4 linked regions of the Arabidopsis thaliana genome follow. The protein of the gene in region 2 interacts with the protein of the main gene of each other region in a pairwise test. Each region holds a gene or a part of one and is shown on either strand. Other genes may lie near its edges.

Region 1 (7,913 bases), on a different chromosome or scaffold from region 2:
AATTAAATATTTATTAAATAAAAATTAAATTTATGTTCGTTTTATATTTAATATTTAATTTGAAAAATAATTTATTTATTTTTTAATTTTTGTTACTATTTATTCTATGTTTTGGTTATCATTTACAGTAACATTTGTTCTATTTTTCCTTTATATCCATTCCTTTTCATTCCTATTTTATCATTTTTTCTTTTCCTGTTTGTTCTTTTTTAGTCATGTTCTTCTTCATTCCTTGTATTCATTTATAGGTCACCAATCGGACCCGATATGTTGATTTAAAGAGAGTGGACATATCAATTCTGGTAGCTGGTAAAAAGCATCTATTTCCTTTGCTTTCAAGCTCATGTGTTACACAAACATGTTATAAAGTCATTTTTTTGTTTTTCATATGCAAAGAGAACAACAATTGTATCATGGACAATACAGAACTTCTTTATTTTCATCTAAATAGCAATGCTAAAGAGAGCTTCTAAGGAAAAAAGTGTCTAAGATGTATTCGGCTGTTTCAAAAAAATATTGGAAGAGCCAACGAGAGATTACATACTAAGTGAATAATAATGGTCTGACATACAAATTAATGATCAAACCATTATTATGTCAAGAGCGAGGCAACCATATTCGATTAATTAGTTCGCACTGCTCTAAGAGATGCTAACGGGACCCTAGAGAGCACTTCCTCTTCCAAATCTCGGGGAAGATCGGACATCGCCATTGTTGAATCTCTCATCTCCAAGTTAGGTCAAAGCTTCTACAACTCTTTTCGTACCTTCCGGCTATATATGTAACAGCAATTGAAGACACAACTCACTGGGCTAAACCTGGGCTTCAGTTATCAAGTCGGCCTCTTAATGTGGGACCAATACATTTTTTGTATTTGATCGTATAGCAAAAACAAATGATTAGCACCATGTGGAAACATTAGAGAGTTTGTGTAATTAAATTTCAAGTTTCTTTTCTGTCTTGTTATATACATAAAAATGGTTACAGTAACCTTGTTTTTTCTAGTTATCCTCATATGCTCCAAAAACATAGGAGAAAACATAATCATGAACTTTTTGACCAATAGTATTGTTAGGACTTGAATTCTCTTAGATTTGTTAATTGATGATGAATTCTCTTAGATGTTTATAACACTATGAAAATCATTACTTAAAAAAAAAAAAACTAAGATGATCCATCAGTCACACTTTAAATGTTTTTTAAAATATGTTCATATGTTTTGTTTATGGCATTGCGTACATAATTTAATTAGACTAATTATAATATCGATCAAACAAAGAATTATTGGCTGGATTTGGTCGCAGCCATTAGCAGTCGCTCTCAACTAATATTATTACGAGAATCTCTAGCTGAGCAAGTATCTCGTATTTCTCACGCTCTGACGAAAACTTCTACGAGATAGACGCAGATATCGAGACCACGTCATTCCCCCTAACAAGGCAACAACATGTGGCGGACGCCAGTAAAACTCTGCTCAATTCACTTCAATTCCATTTTTCGAATCCGCGTGACGTAACCCACCTAAGGGTTTATAATCCACTACTTTGCACCCCCACCTAAAAATGCATCACAAGCGCGACAAGTGTCAATACAATTCAGATACGGAGAATACTCTGAGATCCCACATCTGCTTTCGGTGGGCTCACCCGCATCAGATAAAAACCCTAAGCTAAGGGATCAGACCAAACAGTTTAACCAAACGAGGTTATCAACTTATACGACAACGAAAGCACTTATCAATGATAAGTTAGTTAACTTATCAAACTACAGTCTGTGTGACAAAACGCATCGAAGAAAGTGGAGAACAAGTCGTACTTTTTTCTTTATCTTTTTCCTTTTTTATTAAATGAAAAAATATAAATAGAAATTTTGTAGCATCTCTGGGGTCAGCTTTTTCTTAATGTTCGCTTTGCGACGCGAGGAAATGCAACCTTGAAACCCTAGAAAACTCATTCTCAACTACGACTAAATCGATTTCGCAAACTTTGACCTACCCTTCTTTCACGATAAACCCAGATCGCTTAAATTCCTTGAATTTCTTCTTCTGAGAGTTTTAGGAAAAAATGTCGTCTTTGAGCAGAGAGTTAGTTTTCTTAATTCTCCAGTTCTTAGATGAGGAGAAGTTCAAGGAATCTGTTCACAAGTAAGTTTGTGCTTTGTCGTTTTTGTGTGCTTGTTTGGTTTCTCTGCGTAATTTTGGGTATAATTTGGAATTGGTTGATGTGTAGGCTAGAGCAAGAATCTGGCTTCTTCTTTAACATTAAGTACTTTGAAGAGAAAGCTCTTGCTGGAGAGTGGGATGAAGTGGAGAAGTATCTTTCTGGTTTCACTAAAGTCGATGATAATCGTTACTCTATGAAAATCTTCTTTGAGATTAGGAAGCAAAAGTATCTCGAAGCTCTAGATCGGTAATGATTTCTCTTCTTGTTTGGTCGGATATTTAGACTAGTGTTGTTGATTTGATACATTTGTGTGTTTTTATTACAGAAATGACAGAGCAAAAGCTGTTGAGATATTAGCCAAAGACTTGAAAGTTTTCGCTACATTTAACGAGGAGCTTTACAAGGAGATTACTCAGCTGCTTACTCTGGAGAATTTTAGGTTTCTTTTTTTTTTTACTTTGCCATTGATATTATTGAAGTTTTGGTAGGTGGTTACGATAATGTTGAAGAGTGTGTTTTTTTCTTAGGGAAAATGAGCAACTGTCGAAATATGGTGATACTAAATCTGCAAGGTCTATAATGTATACTGAGTTGAAGAAATTGATTGAGGCGAATCCTCTGTTTCGAGAGAAGCTAGCCTTCCCCAGTTTCAAAGCTTCTCGCCTGCGAACTTTGATCAATCAAAGGTGAACTAGGAGGAGTCATAATTCTTTCCTTTTTTTATAGAGATTAGTTAAAGTGTATGACAAGTGTGTTTGGGACATTGCAGCTTAAACTGGCAGCATCAGCTATGTAAAAATCCAAGGCCTAATCCTGACATCAAGACATTGTTCTTGGATCACTCTTGCTCACCATCAAACGGTGCTCGTGCACTCACTCCTGTCAATCTTCCAGTTGCTGCTGTTGCAAGACCTTCAAACTTTGTTCCTCTTGGAGTGCATGGTGGAGTAGGATCACTTACTTAACTTCCACCCATTCTATTATATAACTTAATGTTCATATTTTGAGGGTTGATGAAACAACTGTATCTGTGCAGCCCTTTCAATCTAATCCTGCTCCGGCTCCTAATGCCAATGCTTTAGCTGGATGGATGGCAAACCCAAATCCTTCTTCATCAGTTCCATCTGGTGTTGTCGCTGCTTCCCCATTTCCTATGCAGCCAAGTCAAGGTATAATTTATGTCACAACTTACAAGTGTCTGGATATTATGGTATCTTTCGTTTTTTTTTCTTACTTGTGATATTAGAGTTTTTAGGAAATGAATTTTAAGACCTGAAGTTCTATTGCTGTATTTCGTCTCAACAGTTAATGAGCTGAAACACCCTCGGGCACCGTCTAACTCTCTAGGATTAATGGATTATCAAAGTGCTGATCACGAGCAACTCATGAAACGCTTACGGTCTGCACAAACATCCAACGAGGTAATTGCCTTCAGGTTTTCCTTGTTTTTGAAACGCTTAGTGCTTACCTAGCAAACAAAACTCTTGTTGCTTTTGGAATGTGCGCTTTGATGTTGAGTAGATGGCTCTACTTTTCAAATCACAGGTCACATATCCTGCTCATTCTCATCCCCCTGCGTCACTTGATGACCTCCCTAGAAATGTAGTGAGTACAATTCGCCAAGGGTCGGTGGTGATAAGCATGGATTTTCACCCTTCTCATCACACTTTGCTCGCTGGTTAGTCCATTGCTACCATGAAAAGCTTAGTAGAGTTGAGATTTTTATTTGGCTCTTGTTATAATATGTCTGTTACTCGTAGTTGGTTGTTCAAGCGGCGAAGTCACCTTGTGGGAAGTTGGATCCAGAGAAAAGGTTGTCACAGAACCTTTCAAGATATGGAATATGGCGGCTTGTTCTGTGATCTTCCAGGTTTCTCTCTTCTTCCATCGTTTTTACTTATTTTCTTGATAAAGATAAATTATCTAGAAACATACTTTAACACTAAGCTAATCCAGCCTTGAGTGATTTATGTTCTGTTCTGTTCTATCCTATACTTTAAAACTAAGCTAATAAACTATGATTTTGTTGTGCGGGCATTTTCTCGCCAGGGTTCTATAGTCAAAGAGCCATCGATATCCGTCACTCGTGTAGCATGGAGCCCAGATGGAAACTTGCTTGGTATGGTAGATGGAGATTGTTCTCCTAAAAACGTTTTAAAGATATATAGTTGTAATTTCAAGTAGACACGAAGTTTGAACTTTGTAACATTTTCCATGTACAGGGGTTTCTTTTACTAAACATCTGATCCATGTATATGCTTACCAAGGCTCAGACCTACGTCAACACCTCGAGGTATGTTTAATTGTCTTTTCGTACTTAGTTTCTTGCCTTTGCATCTGCACCAAACTTAATCGATCATCTGTTTCTGTGGATTAGATTGATGCTCATGTAGGCTGTGTGAATGACTTGGCGTTCGCCCACCCAAATAAGCAAATGTGTGTTGTGACTTGTGGGGATGACAAATTGATTAAGGTACGTTAGGATTATGATGACTCTGAACTCAGTTTTATTATCCCGTGTCTAATTATGATATTTCCTAGGTGTGGGATTTGAGTGGGAAGAAGCTCTTCACCTTTGAAGGGCACGAGGCACCAGTTTATTCCATTTGCCCTCACCAGAAGGAAAATATTCAGGTGCAGGCATCTCTTGTTTAAAAAGACCTGAAAAACTTTCCCTTTCGCTGTCTTGTAATTTATTTTTCTCTTTTTTTACTATGCAGTTTATATTCTCAACCGCTCTTGATGGAAAGATCAAGGCGTGGCTCTATGATAATGTTGGTTCTCGGGTTGATTATGACGCACCGGGACAGTGGTGTACAACAATGCTCTACAGTGCTGATGGAAGCAGGTACATCATTGTTATTTGAAAAGCTCTGGAGTTGTATAACAAAATTATGTCTCTGCCATAAATTGAAATCTTCTGAACAAAATATAGGCTCATATCATTATCAAGTAAATATCTGCTATGATTTCAGACTATTTTCTTGTGGGACGAGTAAAGAAGGAGACTCTTTCCTCGTCGAGTGGAATGAGAGTGAAGGTGCCCTAAAGAGGACATATTTAGGCTTTAGGAAGAAATCAGCTGGAGTTGTTCAGTTTGATACAACCCGTAACCGTTTCTTGGCTGTTGGTGAAGACAATCAAATAAAATTCTGGAACATGGACAATACAAATCTTTTGACAGTTGTTGAGGCTGAAGGTGGACTTCCGGTATGACATTCTTGCCCAAAATACTCCTCTTGGCTACTTGTATATAAAATCTTTTGTATTCTCGAGCCTGTTACTTTACTGATGCTATGTACCGTTTATTTCAGAATCTACCCCGATTGAGATTCAACAAGGATGGGAATCTTCTTGCAGTTACTACAGCAGATAATGGATTCAAGATCCTTGCAAATACTGATGGTCTCAGAACCTTAAGAGCATTTGAAGCGCGGTCTTTTGAAGCATCTAAAGCATCCATTGATATGAAGGTCTTGGAATAATTACTCTTTATGTTATCCATGAAATATTTTTATTACTCATGCCTTATGTCCAGTTTAACTCGAGTGTCAATACCGGTGATTCAGGTATCCACCTCCGCAATGGCTTCAAGCATCAGCCCCGCTATTGGTAAAATTGAACACATGGACGCAGGCTCTCCTGCAAGGCCAACCCCAATTCCTGTATGATTTAAATTTTAGTATATCTTTTTCAATATATATATATATATTTTTTCCTATTTCAATAAGAATCCTTATATGTGGTCTCTGTTGGTGTTATGCAGAATGGAATTGAGGCAATGTCAAGAACTATGGAAAAGCCAAGAAACTTGGACTCTGTTGATAAGTCTAAACCTTTAGAGCTCACAGAAATTGTTGATCCGACTCAGTGCCGACAAGTGACAATGCCAGATAGCAAGGACTCTGTTAGCAAGGTTTGTTACCGTCTTAGCTTGAAATTGCCCATCAATTGTTCTGTTTCATTAATAATTATCTTGAAATAATCTTTTGCTGCTATGTCAATCCTTAAGGTTGCTCGGCTTCTTTACACAAATTCTGGCGTTGGTGTTTTGGCTCTTGGATCAAATGGTGTTCAAAGACTATGGAAGTGGATCCGCAATGAGCAAAATCCAACTGGGAAGGTGATTCGTTGTACCTTTCAAATTTTACACTCATGTGGTTTGTTGATATATGTGAGTTGTTGAGTCACTTGTTTGAAGCTCTCTTGCATAAGTGTCTGAAATTTTGTCCTTTTATTGTGAAGGCAACTGCTAGTGTAACTCCACAGCATTGGCAGCCAAACAGCGGTCTCCTAATGGCAAATGATGTTCCCGAGAATCCTGAAGGGAGTGTTCCGTGTATAGCACTTTCCAAGAATGACTCATACGTAATGTCAGCTTGTGGTGGAAAGGTTTCGTTATTCAATATGATGACTTTCAAAGTAAGCAGCTTAATCCAACTTTTTCTGTTCTCGGGAGCATCTCCTAAATACTGATACCTCAGGAGCTAATGAAACTATTTGAGTAATATGCGAAGCTAAATGCATTTTTCCCTTTCGTGCAGGTAATGACAACTTTCATGCCACCGCCACCAGCTTCAACTTTCTTGGCATTTCATCCTCAAGATAATAATATTATTGCAATCGGGATGGAGGACTCGAGTATACATATTTACAACGTCAGGGTAGATGAGGTATAGTACATTTGTTCTATTCTGCGGTCTACTGGTTTTTACTGGTGTAACTGCTGATTCATCTCTTAAATGAATTTGTAATGTAATCTCTTTTAATCTATAGGTGAAAACAAAGTTGAAAGGTCACCAGAAGCACATAACTGGTCTAGCATTCTCTACCGCGCTCAATATTCTTGTCTCTTCTGGTGCCGATGCTCAGGTAAGACAAAATTCATGTTTCTTAGATGCTATTGGAGCTTTTCGTGTCCATGTTGGCTTGTAACTTAACAGACTCGTTAACTCTCTTTATTACAGCTCTTCTTCTGGACCGCTGACTCGTGGGAGAAAAAGAAATCTTCAGCGATACAGCTACCACCTGGCAAAGCACCAGTAGGCGACACACGAGTCCAATTCCACAACGACCAAATCCAGTTATTGGTTTCACATGAGACACAGCTCGCCATTTACGATGCTTCGAAGATGGAATGCATTCATAAGGTATCGTAAAAAATCTTTGTATTTACTTGGAGATCTTGAATGATTATAAGAAACCTTAAATTCTCATTCCTTGTGCAGTGGGTGCCCCAAGAAGCTCTCTCTTCGCCCATAACCTCTGCATCTTACTCATGCAACAGCCAACTGGTTTACGCGTCATTCGCTGATGGAAACATTGCAGTCTTTGATGCTGAATCCTTGAGACTCAGATGCCGCATTGCCCCATCAGCCTACATGCCTCAACCTACACCAAACAGGTACCGTATTTTACAAACTTCATATAAAGTTTATATCATCCATCTGACCATTGTGATTTTTTGGGACTGATTATGCTTTCTTTTTCTTCTGTGATAGTGCACCGATTTTCCCACAGGTGATCACAGCTCATCCACAAGAACCGAATCAATTAGCGGTTGGACTGTCTGATGGTTCGGTTAAAGTGATTGAGCCATCAGAACTTTCTAGAAGATGGGGTGTTGGCGTCGCAGCTGGTTCAGATAAAGCAGGGACTGAAAATGGACGGCCGTCTAGTTCATCAGCGGCTAACAACTCAAGTTCGGATCAGATTCAAAGGTAAAAATAGTTTATGTCAGTTAAGTTAGTT
Region 2 (5,024 bases):
TTGCTTTTTATACAAATGTTTGTAGTTTACGATCAATTTCATCAAACTGGGACCAGATGGGGCTCTGGTCTGGGTTCTGCGGTAAAAGTAGTATGTTGTGACCGGACCAGACCAGCGTGTTCGTAAATTCAGTAAAACTCTTGAATGAAGAAAAATAGACTCTTAAGGTTTTTGGTGTGCGGCTCCTGCCTCCTGCTGACCCCATGATTTAATTAGTAATTATAATAATAAATCAACCTCTCTGATCATAATCTAGTCGGCTTATATTTTACAACTCTTAATAATTCTTAAGCATTCAAATAAGATTAATGATTAATTGACGGTTGAAATCCCATTTATGTTTAATATTTGACCAATGTTTCTTTTATGTATTTTGAGGATTGATGTTAATAGCGTCTATGAGAAACTCATACCGTGACGTGAACCAAGTTCAAACTATTGTGCAAAGAAATCCAAGGATTTGGATATAATACAAGTTGCTATAAATGCATGCGTAGACTATGCTTGATTGCTTTCGTTGTTTCTCTTCTCGTAATCATGAGCGACAACTCCTTTCAACTCATCCACTATTGTTTCTTTGTTATGTCTCATTTACATTCGCTTAGAAACTGAATGACTGTGTTTATAATTTGTAATGATATTGTACAAAACCAAAGTCACTGCTTCTCTTTAGTATCCTAATGCTTTTCAAATGTTACGGGACTTTTATGATTTCAAGATACATTCATTACACACAAACATTACAACACAAAACAGTATAATCATAATCTTGTATACGAGCTACGTGTCTAAAGTCGTCAAATCTTATGCTAAGAATCTCAAATTTTCTGGACCTTCGTTGAAGTATAATAGAGTCATGGTTCACTCTCTTGGTCTGGCAAGCCATAGAGAGCTAAGAGCACGTAACCGCAATGTATAATTGTGTACTGCAAGGAGAGCACGAGCCGATTGTCGGGTTGTTAATAGTCTCACCATCTGTTGATATGTTTGTAGCCTTAAGTTATCAGCCTGCCACAAACAATAAGATGGTTCTATCAACTGACTGCAAAATACTTTTTTCATTTGATGTTAAACAACAAAATTGTAACGTACCTGGCGGATAAATCCTTCAAGGGTACCTAACTTCCCCATCGCCATGGCCATCTGACCCATGTAGCTAGCTACATTCCCTGATGAACTTGAACCGAGAGTCCCACTCGATAAAGTATCAGCGAGTGATTGCTGTAAGTTGTCCATCCCTTGAGACAAAGCATCTTCTGCTTGCTGAGAAGACTGTTGCAAGTTATTTATGTCTAGCGATTGTTGTTCTGTCAAGGGCTCCAACTGACTCGCTATAAGCTGTAGTAGAGAAGTAAAAAGTTTGGAAACTTGCTAGTGAAGAGACCAAATAAACCGAACCTGGTCGTGTGTTTTTTACCTTGAGAAGTTCTGATGAACGGAAACCGCCGAGCCACAAGAAACATCTCTCAGCTGGGGTTTTCCACATCCCTGATAATAAATGGAAGACATCACTCTTAGCTGCGTTGCCTTTTATCCTGTAAAGCTCCTCATAGTGAGCTATTACTCCATCTACAATTATCCGAAGCTCAGAATCAGTCGCGTGAGAATCTATAGCAGAACTCAGCTCCTTCATCTGTCTGTTTTTATCTTCCTGCCATCGTCTGTATTCTACATCAAATGCCATTGCCCCTGTAAAAGAGAAGCATTCATAAAAAATTATCTCACAAGAAAGTGATCAACACCATCAACCAAACTAGTGCTTGCTCTACTTTATAACCAACAAAACTAAAATTTTCAACCACATCATCAATAAATGGTTATGAATTATGATTCAGCTAACTCACCATCTCCAGCGGTAGAATGGGCTTGGTCTCCAGAGCTTGAGATAAAGACACCCTAAGATTAAGAGAAAAATGTTATGTATGCAACAGAGCAAATATCTACACAAATATAGCTGAACAAAGTTAAAACCTGTTGCCGTGCTCTTTGTAGCTCCTGCTCAAGTTGTGTTAGCTTCAATCGACTGTTCTCTAGCTGCTGAACATATGCCTAAAAGTGCAGTAACCAACAAACATCTTAGAGTTTGCAAATAGCTATGCTTGTAAAAAACATAAAAGAATTGAAACTATGAACATAAATCTAAGCATACTTTCTTCCTCAATCTGCTTTTCCTTGCAGCCTCACGGTTTTGAGCGAGCCTACGAAGCGTCTGTTGATTACAACAACAAACAAGAAAAACATAACTGAAAGGCTCAATGACAAAAACCAAACTCTTGCAAAATAGAGATGTTTATATTCACCTTTTGATCCATTTTACTCTTTGAACGGTCACTAGAATCAGAAGCACCGATACCCAAATGCCCTTCATCGAACTGCATAAATACTGTTTTATTTCAAAACTTTGGCCATTTAATGAACATAAAGAAGCAAGACCTAGAAATTTTACAAGCTAACCATTAGGTTATTATGATCAGTGTCTCCATCTGTTGAGACTGATGTTCTTGGACTAGTATCTCCCATTTTTCTTTTTCTTCAAAATCTCTGTTACTAAATCATCAGATAAAAACCGATCCAATCGTGGTACCCTAGATGGAGTAAAGACTGTCAAAAGTAAGATGGTAAACATAAACAAAAGATTAGAGTTATAGAGAAAGAAAACATATTTTTAAGCCAAAAACCAACGCATTAAGTAGAATCAAGAAAGTGGAAACAATGATACGATACATCACCCTATTTATGTCACACTAACATAAAGATCCAAACCACTAAACTTAACACATAGCTGTGAAGCAACCAATGACCTCAAGAACTTTGAGTATTCAAAGCCAGAGAATCAAAGTAAACAATAAGCACGCCTATATGATTTGAAATGAGAACCAACGGACTTCTATAGCGTAAAGCTCTCCGTGAGGTGAAACAGTAACTAATCTGAACATTAGACTGAAGTAGAGCTAAAAGATTCAGAATTTAGCAAACTAGCCCCGGAAACAGAGTAAAAGACACAAAATTCAAGCTTCATAACATCAAATCTCAACCAATTCGTTTAAATAGTGTCCGAAATAATGATTTTGGATCCTTAACACGTACATAAAGCAAAAAGGAAAAAATTCCCTCAAAGGTCAAAATCTTCAATGGAAAAAAACAATCATGAAAGCAGAGGCAGAATAAGAAAACTGAAGAACTAAAACCCCTAAGACTATTGAAGAAGAGACTCACCTGAAAAGAACGGATTCTTTGAGCTTAACCCCAAACAAAAGTTGCTCGGAGAAAAAGCGATTTAGAGAAAGATCCGGAAAATTCCAATCTACAACTGCAAAGACGTGGTCTTTGTCTAAAACCCACAACAGATATAGTATCAATCACCAACAAAGGTTACTACTTTTGTATCTTCCTTCTTTGAGGTATTTTTAGTTGTACGATCTTCTTTTTTTTTATTTTGCCGGTCTCTGAAAAAAAACAGGAATGGAAGACGAAACTCAAGTGATGGTGGACCTCTAGATGCTGAGGGTTAAAAAGTCCTCTGAAAATTGCAACACTCTCTTTTTTCTAAAAACAAAATAATTCTTGGTTTTGACAATGACATGTCCCTTTTTTTATTACAAAAAAATCTATCACACTTACTTTGAATGTAAATTCATTTTCATCATCTCTTGGAAGTTTACATTAGAATCCTCACTAAATAAGATTTAAGACACAAGCGATGAAACTACAAAACTCAAATAGAACATCTTAATATTGTTAAATGATTACAGTACAGAAGTTGCAAGGTTAAAACACCTTTACCACACACAAAAGTAACAAAAAAAAACAAAATTCAATAACCTTTCTAAGATAATCGAAGATGCTATATAAACAACATTGAACTTTTCAAATGCTAAATTAAAAACTGATGACTACAACTAAAACAACATGAATTACCACAACCATGTAGAAGAAACCTACATACAAAGAGTCTTTTGTTTCCCAGAAATTTGCTTATTTGTTGATGGATTTGGTAAGAAGAATCTGACAAGTGTTGATTAATAGTCTCTCCTGGTTTTGTGTCCATATGGATTTTGTACAGCTGACATGTGACCAAAATACAGTTTCACTCTCTGGGTCGAGCAAGCCATAAGGAGCTTAGAGCTCGTAGCCGTGAGAAGTAATCGTGTATTGCAAGTAGAGCACGTGCTGACTGTCTCGTTGTTAATACTCTTATCATCTGTTGCAATGTTTGTAGTCTCAAATTATCAGCCTGCCACCACCAACCAAGAGACGATTATTAACCTATTGATATATATATATACTCTTAACTAAGATATCATCTCAAAACATCACAAGTGTTGTACCTGGCGGATAAATCCTTCGAGTGTACCTAACTTTCCCATTGCCATGGCCATCTGACCCATGTAGCTTGCGACATTCCCTGATGAACTTGAACCAAGAGTCCCGCTCGATAAAGTATCAGCTAGTGACTGTTGTAAGCTCTCCATCCCTTGAGACAAAGCATCTTCAGCCTGCTGCGATGTCTGTTGCAGGTTATTTATGCCCATCAACTGTCTCTCTGTCATTGGCTCCAACTGATTCGCCAGAAGCTGTTTCAACACATTTTTCCCTATGACCATTCTTTTTATGTTCTATGTAGAAACAGATGCAATCGGTGAAGACAAAGTGAAATTTGACCTCACCTTTAGAAGTTCGGATGAACGAAATCCACCGAGCCACAAGAAACATCTCTCAGCTGGTGTTTTCCACATGCCAGATAGCAAGTGAAAGACATCATTCTTAGCTGCATTGCTCTTTATCCTGAAAAGCTCCTCATAGTGAGCCATCACACCATCGACTATTATTCGAAGCTCAGAATCACCTGCATGCGCATTCAGAGCAGACCTCAGCTCGTTCATTTGCTTGTTCTTTTCTTCCAACCACCGTGAATGTTCAGCATCAAACGCCAAAGCACCTGAATTAAAAAATTTATACATGATCAAAACAAACCCATGAGATTCGTCATCTTGTAAATCTAAATCTACACCAGTGCTAATTAG
Region 3 (5,019 bases), on a different chromosome or scaffold from region 2:
AAGGGTATTGGAGAAAACAAGTAACCTTAATGGGTTTGTTCTAAAGCTTGCTCCTTTCTGTGATCTTGATGAAGCTCTAAGCTTGGCTCAAGTAGCGGTAGGAATCGTGTCTTCTAATCTTGATGGGGATAAACCGATCGAGAACTGCTCGATCTGCTGTGAAGACCGTCAGTCTGAGATGATGCTATCATTGAAATGCACTCACAAATTCTGTTCGCACTGCATGAAAACGTACGTTGAAGGGAAAGTAAAGACTTCAGAGGTTCCCATCAGGTGTCCTCAAGTGCAATGCAAGCATTATCTCTCAGCAGCGGAATGCAAATCGTTCCTTCCCGTCACTACTTTCAAATCATTCGAGGAAGCAAATGTGTGTAGTAAAAACAATGGGAAGATTTACTGCCCATATCCCAATTGCTCTTTTCTGTTAGACCCGCAAGAATGTCTATCATCAGGAAGGGCTAGCTCAAGCTCGTCTACTCAGTCAGAGAATAGCTGCTGTGTGGAGTGTCCAGTCTGTGAGAGGTTTGTGTGTGTGGACTGTGGTGTTCCTTGGCATGCTTCTATGAGCTGTGAAGAGTTTCAGATTCTTCCAGTTGATGAAAGATACCCAGATGATATTACATTGCATCGCTTGGCAAGGTATAAGAGGTGGAGGCGGTGTCAGCAATGCCGTATAATGATCGAGCTTGCTCAAGGCTGCAACCACATGACTTGCCGGTAAGACACACATATATATCTATGGCTACACATTGTTTTCCGTATCTATACATATTTGAACCACCAAAGTTAGGTTTTTGACTTCCAATAAAATATAGTTAGTCTTGACCCTTTAACTGCAGAATCACGGTATCGTAATAACCATATGATTCTAAGGTTTTTTTTTTCTCGCCTACGTTTAAATCTAGTATTCTAGAGCAAGTGTTTCTTTTGCGATTCTTACGCATATAAATGTCAAAACTCTCTGTGTTTTCCGCAGATGCGGGCATGAGTTTTGCTACTCGTGTGGAGCAGAGTACAGAGAAGGGCAACAGACTTGCACGTGTGCTTTTTGGGACGATGATGAAGAAGAACAAGAAAACGCAGTAGAGGAAAACACAATTCAAGAAGTTGAGCAATGGCCTTGGGACACATTTAACTCAATTCCAACTGTAATGGACGCGTACTCAGAGCAAGAAAGATCTCAGCTTGCTCTGATCCAAAGGTTCTTAGCAGGTGGAGGGTTTAGTCTCAGTGATCACCATACTACTTATCAGTCACCGCCGCCTCCATGTACAGAGTCATCATATGTTGAAGCCGCAATGAAAGATCTTCATCAGCTTCCTTGGCTTGAGAGGTTTGTGTCTGTTATAAGTGATGATTACTATGAAGAGTATAATAGCCAGTGAAAGTAGTAGAATTGTAATTTAATAGCCTTGAGGATCCGGCTTGGTTTGGTTCAGAGAGGCCAAACGAGAGTATCTCACTCTCGAAAGTAATTGTTGGGAGGGTTTTAGATTCTTGATGAACTCAAACAAACGAATTGTGATGAAACTATTTGCAATTATAAGAAGAAGAGTTTGCTCATCTCCATTCTACAAATCCTGCAAGAAAGATTAACACTCTTTTATATTCAGTGTTATGTTATGATATTTAATCTACCAAAATTTGGTTGAAGAACTAATCAAAATGAACTTGGTTAGCATCATCATATATATACCAACTACCAAGTAAAGAAAAAGTTTGATAAATTCAATTATTCATGCTCTTCAAATAAAATACAGAACCCATTAAAAAGGGTCCACTTATCATCAATCTACTCTTGCATTATCTTGAGTTTTTGTGTAGACATAACATAACCCATTTTATAAGTTATGACCTTATTAGAAAGGGTCCACTTATCATCAATCTACTTAGCATTTTGTGTATATTTCTCAAAGCTGACGTTATTTAAGACGTCATAGACCCACTTCACCACAACTCAAGTCGTCTTCAATTGCTGACGACATTGCTTACGGTTTTTGAATCGTCGTCACAAAATTTAGGAGATTGGATTAGGAATTGGCTCTTTCTTTACTATTCTCCAAAGACTTTACTATTTGGTCAGTCTTCTTATTTCTCACCTTTAGCTTTTAGATAAACCTCTGATTTTTTTCTCCCATCTGTTCTGAGATTGTCTTCTTCTTCTTGAAATCTTTTTCATTTGTGCAATGATTTTGAAGACTACCCATCTATTCAGTTCTTTCTCTTATGATTTAAGTTTCATTTAGTTTTTTTTTCTCATCCGCCATTTTCGTTGACTTTTTGAAGCATTTCTCGAATTGACTTTGTTCTTCACATTGATTCATTAGAATGTTCTTTCATAAAGTTTGGATCTTTTCTTCAGGGCTTGATTAATTTCATATCTATGATCTTCTCTGTATTGTTTTTGATCCAATCACTTCTCAAAATTTGATCCTTGTCATTGGATTTAGATTTAGGGTTTTTGTATCCTTGGGGATTTGAAGATCAAAAACAGAGTCTTTGAGTGATACTTCTGGGGAACAAAATGGCTGCAACTGCAATAGAGCCATCTTCATCTATAAGTTTCACATCTTCTCACTTATCAAACCCTTCTCCTGTTGTTACTACTTATCACTCAGCTGCTAATCTTGAAGAGCTCAGCTCTAACTTGGAGCAGCTTCTCACTAATCCAGATTGCGATTACACTGACGCAGAGATCATCATTGAAGAAGAAGCTAACCCTGTGAGTGTTCATAGATGTGTTTTAGCTGCTAGGAGCAAGTTTTTTCTTGATCTGTTTAAGAAAGATAAAGATAGTAGTGAGAAGAAACCTAAGTATCAAATGAAAGATTTATTACCATATGGAAATGTGGGACGTGAGGCATTTCTGCATTTCTTGAGCTATATCTACACTGGGAGGTTAAAGCCTTTTCCTATCGAGGTTTCAACTTGTGTTGATTCAGTTTGTGCTCATGATTCTTGTAAACCGGCCATTGATTTTGCTGTTGAGTTGATGTATGCTTCATTTGTGTTCCAAATCCCGGATCTTGTTTCGTCATTTCAGGTTTGAGATAAAGTTTCTTTGTGATTTTGCTGGTAAATAATCTGTTCTTGATTGGTCAAGGCTGTAATGTTGTGTGTTGTTGTGTCTGCAGCGGAAGCTTCGTAACTATGTTGAGAAGTCACTAGTAGAGAATGTTCTTCCTATCCTCTTAGTTGCGTTTCATTGTGATTTGACACAGCTTCTTGATCAATGCATTGAGAGAGTGGCGAGATCAGACTTAGACAGATTCTGTATCGAAAAGGAGCTTCCTTTAGAAGTATTGGAAAAAATCAAACAGCTTCGAGTTAAGTCGGTGAACATACCCGAGGTGGAGGATAAATCGATAGAGAGAACAGGGAAAGTACTCAAGGCATTGGATTCAGATGATGTAGAACTCGTGAAGCTTCTTTTGACTGAGTCAGATATAACTCTAGACCAAGCCAATGGTCTACATTATGCAGTGGCATACAGTGATCCGAAAGTTGTGACACAGGTTCTTGATCTAGATATGGCTGATGTTAATTTCAGAAATTCCAGGGGGTATACGGTTCTTCATATTGCTGCTATGCGTAGAGAGCCAACAATTATCATACCACTTATTCAAAAAGGAGCTAATGCTTCAGATTTCACGTTTGATGGACGCAGTGCGGTAAATATATGTAGGAGACTCACTAGGCCGAAAGATTATCATACCAAAACCTCAAGGAAAGAACCTAGTAAATACCGCTTATGCATCGATATCTTGGAAAGGGAAATTAGAAGGAATCCATTGGTTAGTGGGGATACACCCACTTGTTCCCATTCGATGCCCGAGGATCTCCAAATGAGGTTGTTATACTTAGAAAAGCGAGGTATTGACCTAGTCGATATATATATTTCTCATAGCTTAAGGTTGATGTCTCTTTATTGAATTCTTGTATGTGTCATTGCAGTGGGACTTGCTCAGTTGTTCTTCCCAGCAGAAGCCAATGTGGCTATGGACGTTGCTAATGTTGAAGGGACAAGCGAGTGCACAGGTCTTCTAACTCCACCTCCATCAAATGATACAACTGAAAACTTGGGTAAAGTCGATTTAAATGAAACGCCTTATGTGCAAACGAAAAGAATGCTTACACGTATGAAAGCCCTCATGAAAACAGGTAAAAGCTTAAGGAAATGTACTTTCAAGTTTTATTCTCTGACCACAAGATTGACTGATTCGAAACCGTTCAACAACGCAGTTGAGACAGGTCGGAGATACTTCCCATCTTGTTATGAGGTTCTGGATAAGTACATGGATCAGTATATGGACGAAGAAATCCCTGATATGTCGTATCCCGAGAAAGGCACTGTGAAAGAGAGAAGACAGAAGAGGATGAGATATAACGAGCTGAAGAACGACGTTAAAAAAGCATATAGCAAAGACAAAGTCGCGCGGTCTTGTCTTTCTTCTTCATCACCAGCTTCTTCTCTTAGAGAAGCCTTAGAGAATCCAACATGATCTTGTCCCAGATAAGTAATGCTACTAGAGATAGTTCCTTGGAAGAAATTAGCTATTTTATAGGTTTTGGTTTAGAAAACAGTGGAGATCCCATTTTGGTATTCAGGTTTATTACATGGTTTAGGTTTGATTTTGTATTAAAGGAGATGGATTTTTGAAATGTATAAAGCAAAACCTTTCCTTTTTGCTTTGCTTCTTTCTTTAGTCAGAAAATTGTAATATATGGAAGTGAAATCGAAGCAACGATTGAGCAGAACGAGAAGCACAAGAAAAATGTTAAGCTAGTTAAAAGATTTTCAAGCTTCTTGCAAGAGAATTACTAAACAGGCACTTTCTCAGGGGAAAGATCCTCGTGTTGAATTAATCTCAATACCAAAATCTAAGCCTGCTTCTGATAGCAAAACAGGAACTAGAGAATAGAGATAGTTCCTTTGAAAAGATTGAAGATCCCATTTTGGCTTTAGGTTCAATTTGTATTACAAGGGATTTTGATTTTTAAAATGTGTAAAGGAAAAAT
Region 4 (5,181 bases), about 16 Mb from region 2:
TTTAATTGTTTCATCAAGTTAAGTTTCGTTTCCAATTCCTCTTAGAATGATTTTTATCTCTTGTGTTAGGTCACGCTTTACTAGTTTACACTCCTCTTTAGAATGATTTATCTCTTGTATGAGTTTTGTTTTTGTCTTTTTGTTAAGAATTTAAATATTCCACTAAAATGAAAAGTGTTAGGATTTTCATGAAGTAAAGCCTGAAGTTTTTGGTCTTATGGCAAAAAAAGAAAAAAACATGAAAACAAAAGAAATCAATCCATTGACATCAACAAAACAAATTACGTTTTTGAGTCATAAAGTGATATAACAATTTTGAATAACTACCAATATATATGTCCTCAATCTTGTGTGAGTTCAAGGCTTTATGGGTTACATCGTTATACTTAGTTTATGTAAGAAATTTGTAAATTTGAATGGGTTAAAACTTCTGATCTAAATAACGAATTGGTAGGAAACTTTTTTTTGTCTTGTTAATATTTGATGGTTTTAGCCAAAGTAATACATAAAATAATTATTTAGTGACCAAAACTTATCGCATATTTGATGATTTAAGCCATAGTAATATGATTTGTATTAGTGACGTTGATGGTTTAATATATGATTTAGTGATACTTAGTGAACGAAAGATACAAATTAACATATGGTTTACCAAAGTAACGCAGCGTCACTAGTGACCAAAACTTAGCGTATATTTGATAGTTTAAGTCAAAGTAATATACTAATATGATTTGTATTAGTGACGTTGCATTGTCACTATCCAAGTTTACACTTATATGTTATTTTTTGTTAAAAATATATATTTATAGTTAGAATTCTATATTCGATAGCATTACCGAAAGTCGAAAATTTAATCATAGGAATCATTGCCAATCGAAATAATGCTAATTAAATTTTATTTCATATAAAAATTTGATGAATAAACTATTCAACGACTATCCTTAAAGAGTTTTTTTTTTTTTAATAGTCAGCTAACGCATTTCACCGATTGTATTTGTAGCCTTGTAGGTAGAGTCGAATTTCCGACGCGACTAGAATGCTAGCATAAGAGACTTCACCACTTTGTTACGAAGCCAAGAATCTTCTTGTTTTAAAAAAAAAAATCAAGACAAAATTGTCGTCCCTCATATCTATATTCAATTCATTTCAAAACGTTATTTATGTCTTAAAATTTGGAACTAGGCCACAAAGAATGACTTTGGTCATCACAAAATTATAAATTTAATAAAAATTTGGACCACTATAGGCATAGCTATTGCCTATTATAATCTCTACTATTACTTTATGATTTATCTACTATTCCGAAAGTGTAATTGTTTAATACGTCATCACATTGCAGCAATCCACACACAAGCCACGTCATTCATATGCCGTTCGTATTTGCTTTCGTCACTTCCTTCCGTCATCAATAGTGACGGCTATTTCTTAATATTAATCTTCTTGACTTAATGCTATTTCGTGACGGCATTAATTGGCATATCATTACAAGTTATTTACACCTAAGAAACAAATTAAAACTATTGAATAATATGATGTAAATAAAAATATATTAATGATGTGATATATCGCAGTCAAATAAAAATAGTGATTTTGATGAGAAAAAAAATATGTGTTTATCCATAGATTTGTTAAATTAGAGAAAGATGTGGAAAATGTTAGTGAGTGGCGTCATACACGGAGAACCTTTGGCATCATACACGGATTTTTCTAGTCTTTGTTTTCTATTTGTCAACTTTCATTTGAGTCTTTCTTTATACACTTTATTAGACCATGTTTTTAATTCTAATGCTTATTAATTCATATTATTAAATTTACAAAAAAAACTATTATATTAACTCTCTTGTTTCCTCTGTATCTTCCTTCACATTGAAGCTGTCTCTTTCTTTCACCATCACTTGCACCTGTTGTGTCCTGTTTGTTCTCAATTTCATCATCATTTATCCTTTATATACCTCTCTTTCTTTCTTGACTTTTCCTCTAAATTCTCTTCCTTTTTATCTCTTTGATACATCTCAATTTGGTTCTTTTGCCTTCTCTTTGATCTTATCTCTTACGATTGTGCAGATCTCAATCTCTATATCCTTGGTTGTGTCAGATTCTCTTAGGGTTTATTTTCTCTCCCAATTTTGTTTGATTCCTTGTCCAAAGTTTCTTCCTTTCCTTTTGACTTTTTTTTGTGGTACATTGAATCAGAGGTGTAAGAGTAATAGTTTCATAACTCAAATCCCCAAGTGTACAAATTTTCCTCTTTTGGTTCTGGGTTTGGTTGATTCCTTGTTAGAAATGTAAATTTAGGGCTTTTGTATCTGAAACCGATCTTCAGACTTGTGTAATCTTCTTGATCTTCATGCAAGATTGATAATTCTACAAGAAGAAGAAGAAGAGAAAATGGCTACTTTGACTGAGCCATCATCATCTTTGAGTTTCACATCTTCTCATTTCTCTTATGGTTCTATTGGGTCCAATCACTTCTCATCAAGCTCAGCTTCTAATCCTGAAGTTGTTAGTCTAACCAAACTCAGCTCCAATCTTGAGCAGCTTCTTAGTAATTCAGATTGTGATTACAGTGATGCAGAGATCATTGTTGATGGTGTTCCAGTTGGTGTTCATAGATGCATTTTAGCTGCAAGAAGTAAGTTTTTCCAAGATTTGTTTAAGAAAGAAAAGAAAATTTCGAAAACTGAGAAACCAAAGTATCAGTTGAGAGAGATGTTACCTTATGGAGCTGTTGCTCATGAAGCTTTCTTGTATTTCTTGAGTTATATATATACTGGGAGATTAAAGCCTTTTCCATTGGAGGTTTCGACTTGTGTTGATCCAGTTTGTTCTCATGATTGTTGTCGACCTGCCATTGATTTTGTTGTTCAATTGATGTATGCTTCCTCTGTTCTCCAAGTGCCTGAGCTAGTTTCATCTTTTCAGGTGTGTGAAAAGTCTTCTTTTTTCTTCGGTCTCTTTGTTTCTTAATTCATAGACCTCAATGAGAACTAAAAGGTTTGTGTGCTTGCAGCGGCGGCTTTGTAACTTTGTGGAGAAGACCCTTGTTGAGAATGTTCTTCCCATTCTTATGGTTGCTTTCAATTGTAAGTTGACTCAGCTTCTTGATCAGTGTATTGAGAGAGTGGCGAGGTCAGATCTTTACAGGTTCTGTATTGAAAAGGAAGTTCCTCCCGAAGTAGCAGAGAAGATTAAACAGCTTCGACTTATATCCCCGCAAGACGAAGAAACCAGTCCCAAGATTTCGGAGAAATTGCTTGAAAGAATCGGTAAAATTCTCAAGGCCTTGGATTCAGATGATGTTGAGCTTGTGAAGCTTCTTTTGACTGAGTCAGATATCACTCTAGATCAAGCCAATGGTCTGCATTATTCTGTTGTGTATAGTGATCCGAAAGTTGTTGCCGAGATTCTTGCTCTGGATATGGGTGATGTGAACTACAGGAATTCCCGGGGTTACACGGTTCTTCATTTTGCTGCGATGCGTAGAGAGCCATCGATCATTATATCGCTTATCGATAAAGGCGCCAATGCATCTGAGTTTACATCTGACGGACGTAGCGCAGTTAATATATTAAGAAGACTGACAAATCCAAAGGATTATCATACCAAAACAGCTAAAGGGCGTGAATCTAGTAAAGCCAGGTTATGCATCGATATCTTGGAAAGAGAAATCAGGAAGAACCCCATGGTTCTAGATACACCAATGTGTTCCATTTCTATGCCTGAAGATCTCCAGATGAGACTGTTGTACCTAGAAAAGAGAGGTAATTGACTGAAAATTACTGAATTCTTCTGTATCTTTACTACATTTTTGTTAAAGCTTCTACCTTTTTTGCAGTGGGGCTTGCTCAGTTGTTCTTTCCAACGGAAGCTAAAGTTGCTATGGACATTGGTAACGTAGAAGGTACAAGTGAGTTCACGGGTTTGTCACCTCCTTCGAGTGGGTTAACCGGAAACTTGAGTCAGGTTGATTTAAACGAAACTCCTCATATGCAAACCCAAAGACTTCTTACTCGTATGGTGGCTCTAATGAAAACAGGTAACAAAAAGCTTGCTCTCTGTAAGTCTACCCTTCATCTTCTTATGTTGCTCATTTTCTCTTGACTGACTTCATTACCGTTTCACAATGCAGTTGAGACTGGTCGAAGGTTTTTTCCATATGGTTCAGAGGTTCTAGATAAGTACATGGCTGAGTATATAGACGACGACATCCTCGACGATTTCCATTTTGAGAAGGGATCTACACATGAAAGAAGATTGAAAAGAATGAGATATAGAGAGCTTAAGGATGATGTCCAAAAGGCATATAGCAAAGACAAAGAGTCTAAGATTGCGCGGTCTTGTCTTTCTGCTTCATCTTCTCCTTCTTCTTCTTCCATAAGAGATGACCTGCACAACACAACATGAAACTGCACCATAAGTCAAATGTAATTAGATATCTTTGTTAAAAGGGTTTTTTCTTTATGGATGTTACTCAGATTTTATACAGATGCTTTAGGTTCAGTTTCAATAAAGAGAGATGGATAGATAGATGTACAAGATTAGGAGTGCTGATTAACCCAAAACGTTCTAACTATACGCAATCTTTTGTTTTCAATACAAAAATCTAATATTTAGGTTATCTACAAGATATTCTCAGATACCTGAAACTTAAACAAACAAAGACACTCCACAAAAAGTCAGGAAAAAACATGATCATTTGTCAATCATAGCTATCTCTTTACATAATTACAGAAGATAAGACTACTGGTGGCTAAGAGTAAAGAACAAAAACCATTCTTCCAAACAACCTGTAATAATGCATTCTGAACAGAACTGTCACATGTATGTCCCAGTAAGTAGATGTTAGCTGCTCTCTTTGGCATAGGGTCGGGGCAGGGGCTTGTCTGACCAATACTGTCTATCTGTCTTCTTCAACAAAGAAAGCATTTCAAGTTGCATTATATGTTAAGTGTGCCTTTCCAACATCGTAAAGCAATAGAAGAATATTGTACCAACGAAGGACTGTGCCTTTCCAATTTGTCACTCTGTTCAGTCCAGTCTAAAATTCACTTCACTGAGTTCAGTGGCGTTTCAACATTACGGAGAGCCTTTGTTCTTTCAGCTTTCTCGAAGTCCTTCCTTGTTCGTTTGTTGGCATCTATATCTATACTGATGAGTAGAGAGGTACAATCAAATCCACAG

What was found.
Region 1: the proteins of OBF5 (region 2) and TPR2 interact in a two-hybrid assay, tested with the Arabidopsis thaliana proteins (one study listed by BioGRID).
Region 3: the proteins of OBF5 (region 2) and NPR4 interact in a two-hybrid assay, tested with the Arabidopsis thaliana proteins (2 studies listed by BioGRID).
Region 4: the proteins of OBF5 (region 2) and NPR3 interact in binary tests that used the Arabidopsis thaliana proteins (3 or more experiments, as listed by UniProt).

The regions. Positions count from the first base shown.
Region 1 is NC_003074.8:5,729,646-5,737,558, forward strand, and holds the start of TPR2 (TOPLESS-related 2), read left to right. Parts: upstream 1-1,873; 5' UTR 1,874-2,063; coding exon 2,064-2,143; intron 2,144-2,228; coding exon 2,229-2,408; intron 2,409-2,487; coding exon 2,488-2,601; intron 2,602-2,689; coding exon 2,690-2,848; intron 2,849-2,931; coding exon 2,932-3,109; intron 3,110-3,198; coding exon 3,199-3,331; intron 3,332-3,467; coding exon 3,468-3,583; intron 3,584-3,707; coding exon 3,708-3,840; intron 3,841-3,922; coding exon 3,923-4,032; intron 4,033-4,211; coding exon 4,212-4,281; intron 4,282-4,384; coding exon 4,385-4,455; intron 4,456-4,539; coding exon 4,540-4,635; intron 4,636-4,703; coding exon 4,704-4,796; intron 4,797-4,882; coding exon 4,883-5,010; intron 5,011-5,137; coding exon 5,138-5,372; intron 5,373-5,476; coding exon 5,477-5,635; intron 5,636-5,731; coding exon 5,732-5,827; intron 5,828-5,928; coding exon 5,929-6,078; intron 6,079-6,174; coding exon 6,175-6,285; intron 6,286-6,407; and 12 more. UniProt on the Arabidopsis thaliana protein: Transcriptional corepressor. Negative regulator of jasmonate responses.
Region 2 is NC_003076.8:2,153,238-2,158,261, reverse strand, and holds OBF5 (OCS-element binding factor 5), read right to left. Parts: upstream 3,517-5,024; 5' UTR 3,217-3,516; intron 2,602-3,216; exon of another isoform or gene 2,586-2,601; 5' UTR 2,521-2,585; coding exon 2,455-2,520; intron 2,384-2,454; exon of another isoform or gene 2,379-2,383; coding exon of another isoform or gene 2,373-2,378; coding exon 2,301-2,372; intron 2,210-2,300; coding exon 2,150-2,209; intron 2,050-2,149; coding exon 1,972-2,049; intron 1,897-1,971; coding exon 1,845-1,896; intron 1,690-1,844; coding exon 1,418-1,689; intron 1,339-1,417; coding exon 1,093-1,338; intron 1,009-1,092; coding exon 862-1,008; 3' UTR 543-861; downstream 1-542. Other genes in the region: AHBP-1B (bZIP transcription factor family protein), read right to left, coding at 4,088-4,234, 4,329-4,574, 4,668-4,939.
Region 3 is NC_003075.7:10,695,749-10,700,767, reverse strand, and holds NPR4 (NPR1-like protein 4), read left to right. Parts: upstream 1-1,975; 5' UTR 1,976-2,524; coding exon 2,525-3,043; intron 3,044-3,134; coding exon 3,135-3,873; intron 3,874-3,954; coding exon 3,955-4,502; downstream 4,503-5,019. Other genes in the region: AT4G19670 (RING/U-box superfamily protein), read left to right, coding at 1-717, 977-1,385. UniProt on the Arabidopsis thaliana protein: Salicylic acid (SA)-binding substrate-specific adapter of an E3 ubiquitin-protein ligase complex (CUL3-RBX1-BTB) which mediates the ubiquitination and subsequent proteasomal degradation of NPR1 in the absence of SA.
Region 4 is NC_003076.8:18,226,931-18,232,111, forward strand, and holds NPR3 (NPR1-like protein 3), read left to right. Parts: upstream 1-1,837; 5' UTR 1,838-2,388; coding exon 2,389-2,922; intron 2,923-3,010; coding exon 3,011-3,761; intron 3,762-3,835; coding exon 3,836-4,036; coding exon of another isoform or gene 4,037-4,101; exon of another isoform or gene 4,102-4,129; coding exon 4,130-4,404; 3' UTR 4,405-4,648; downstream 4,649-5,181. UniProt on the Arabidopsis thaliana protein: Salicylic acid (SA)-binding substrate-specific adapter of an E3 ubiquitin-protein ligase complex (CUL3-RBX1-BTB) which mediates the ubiquitination and subsequent proteasomal degradation of NPR1 in response to SA.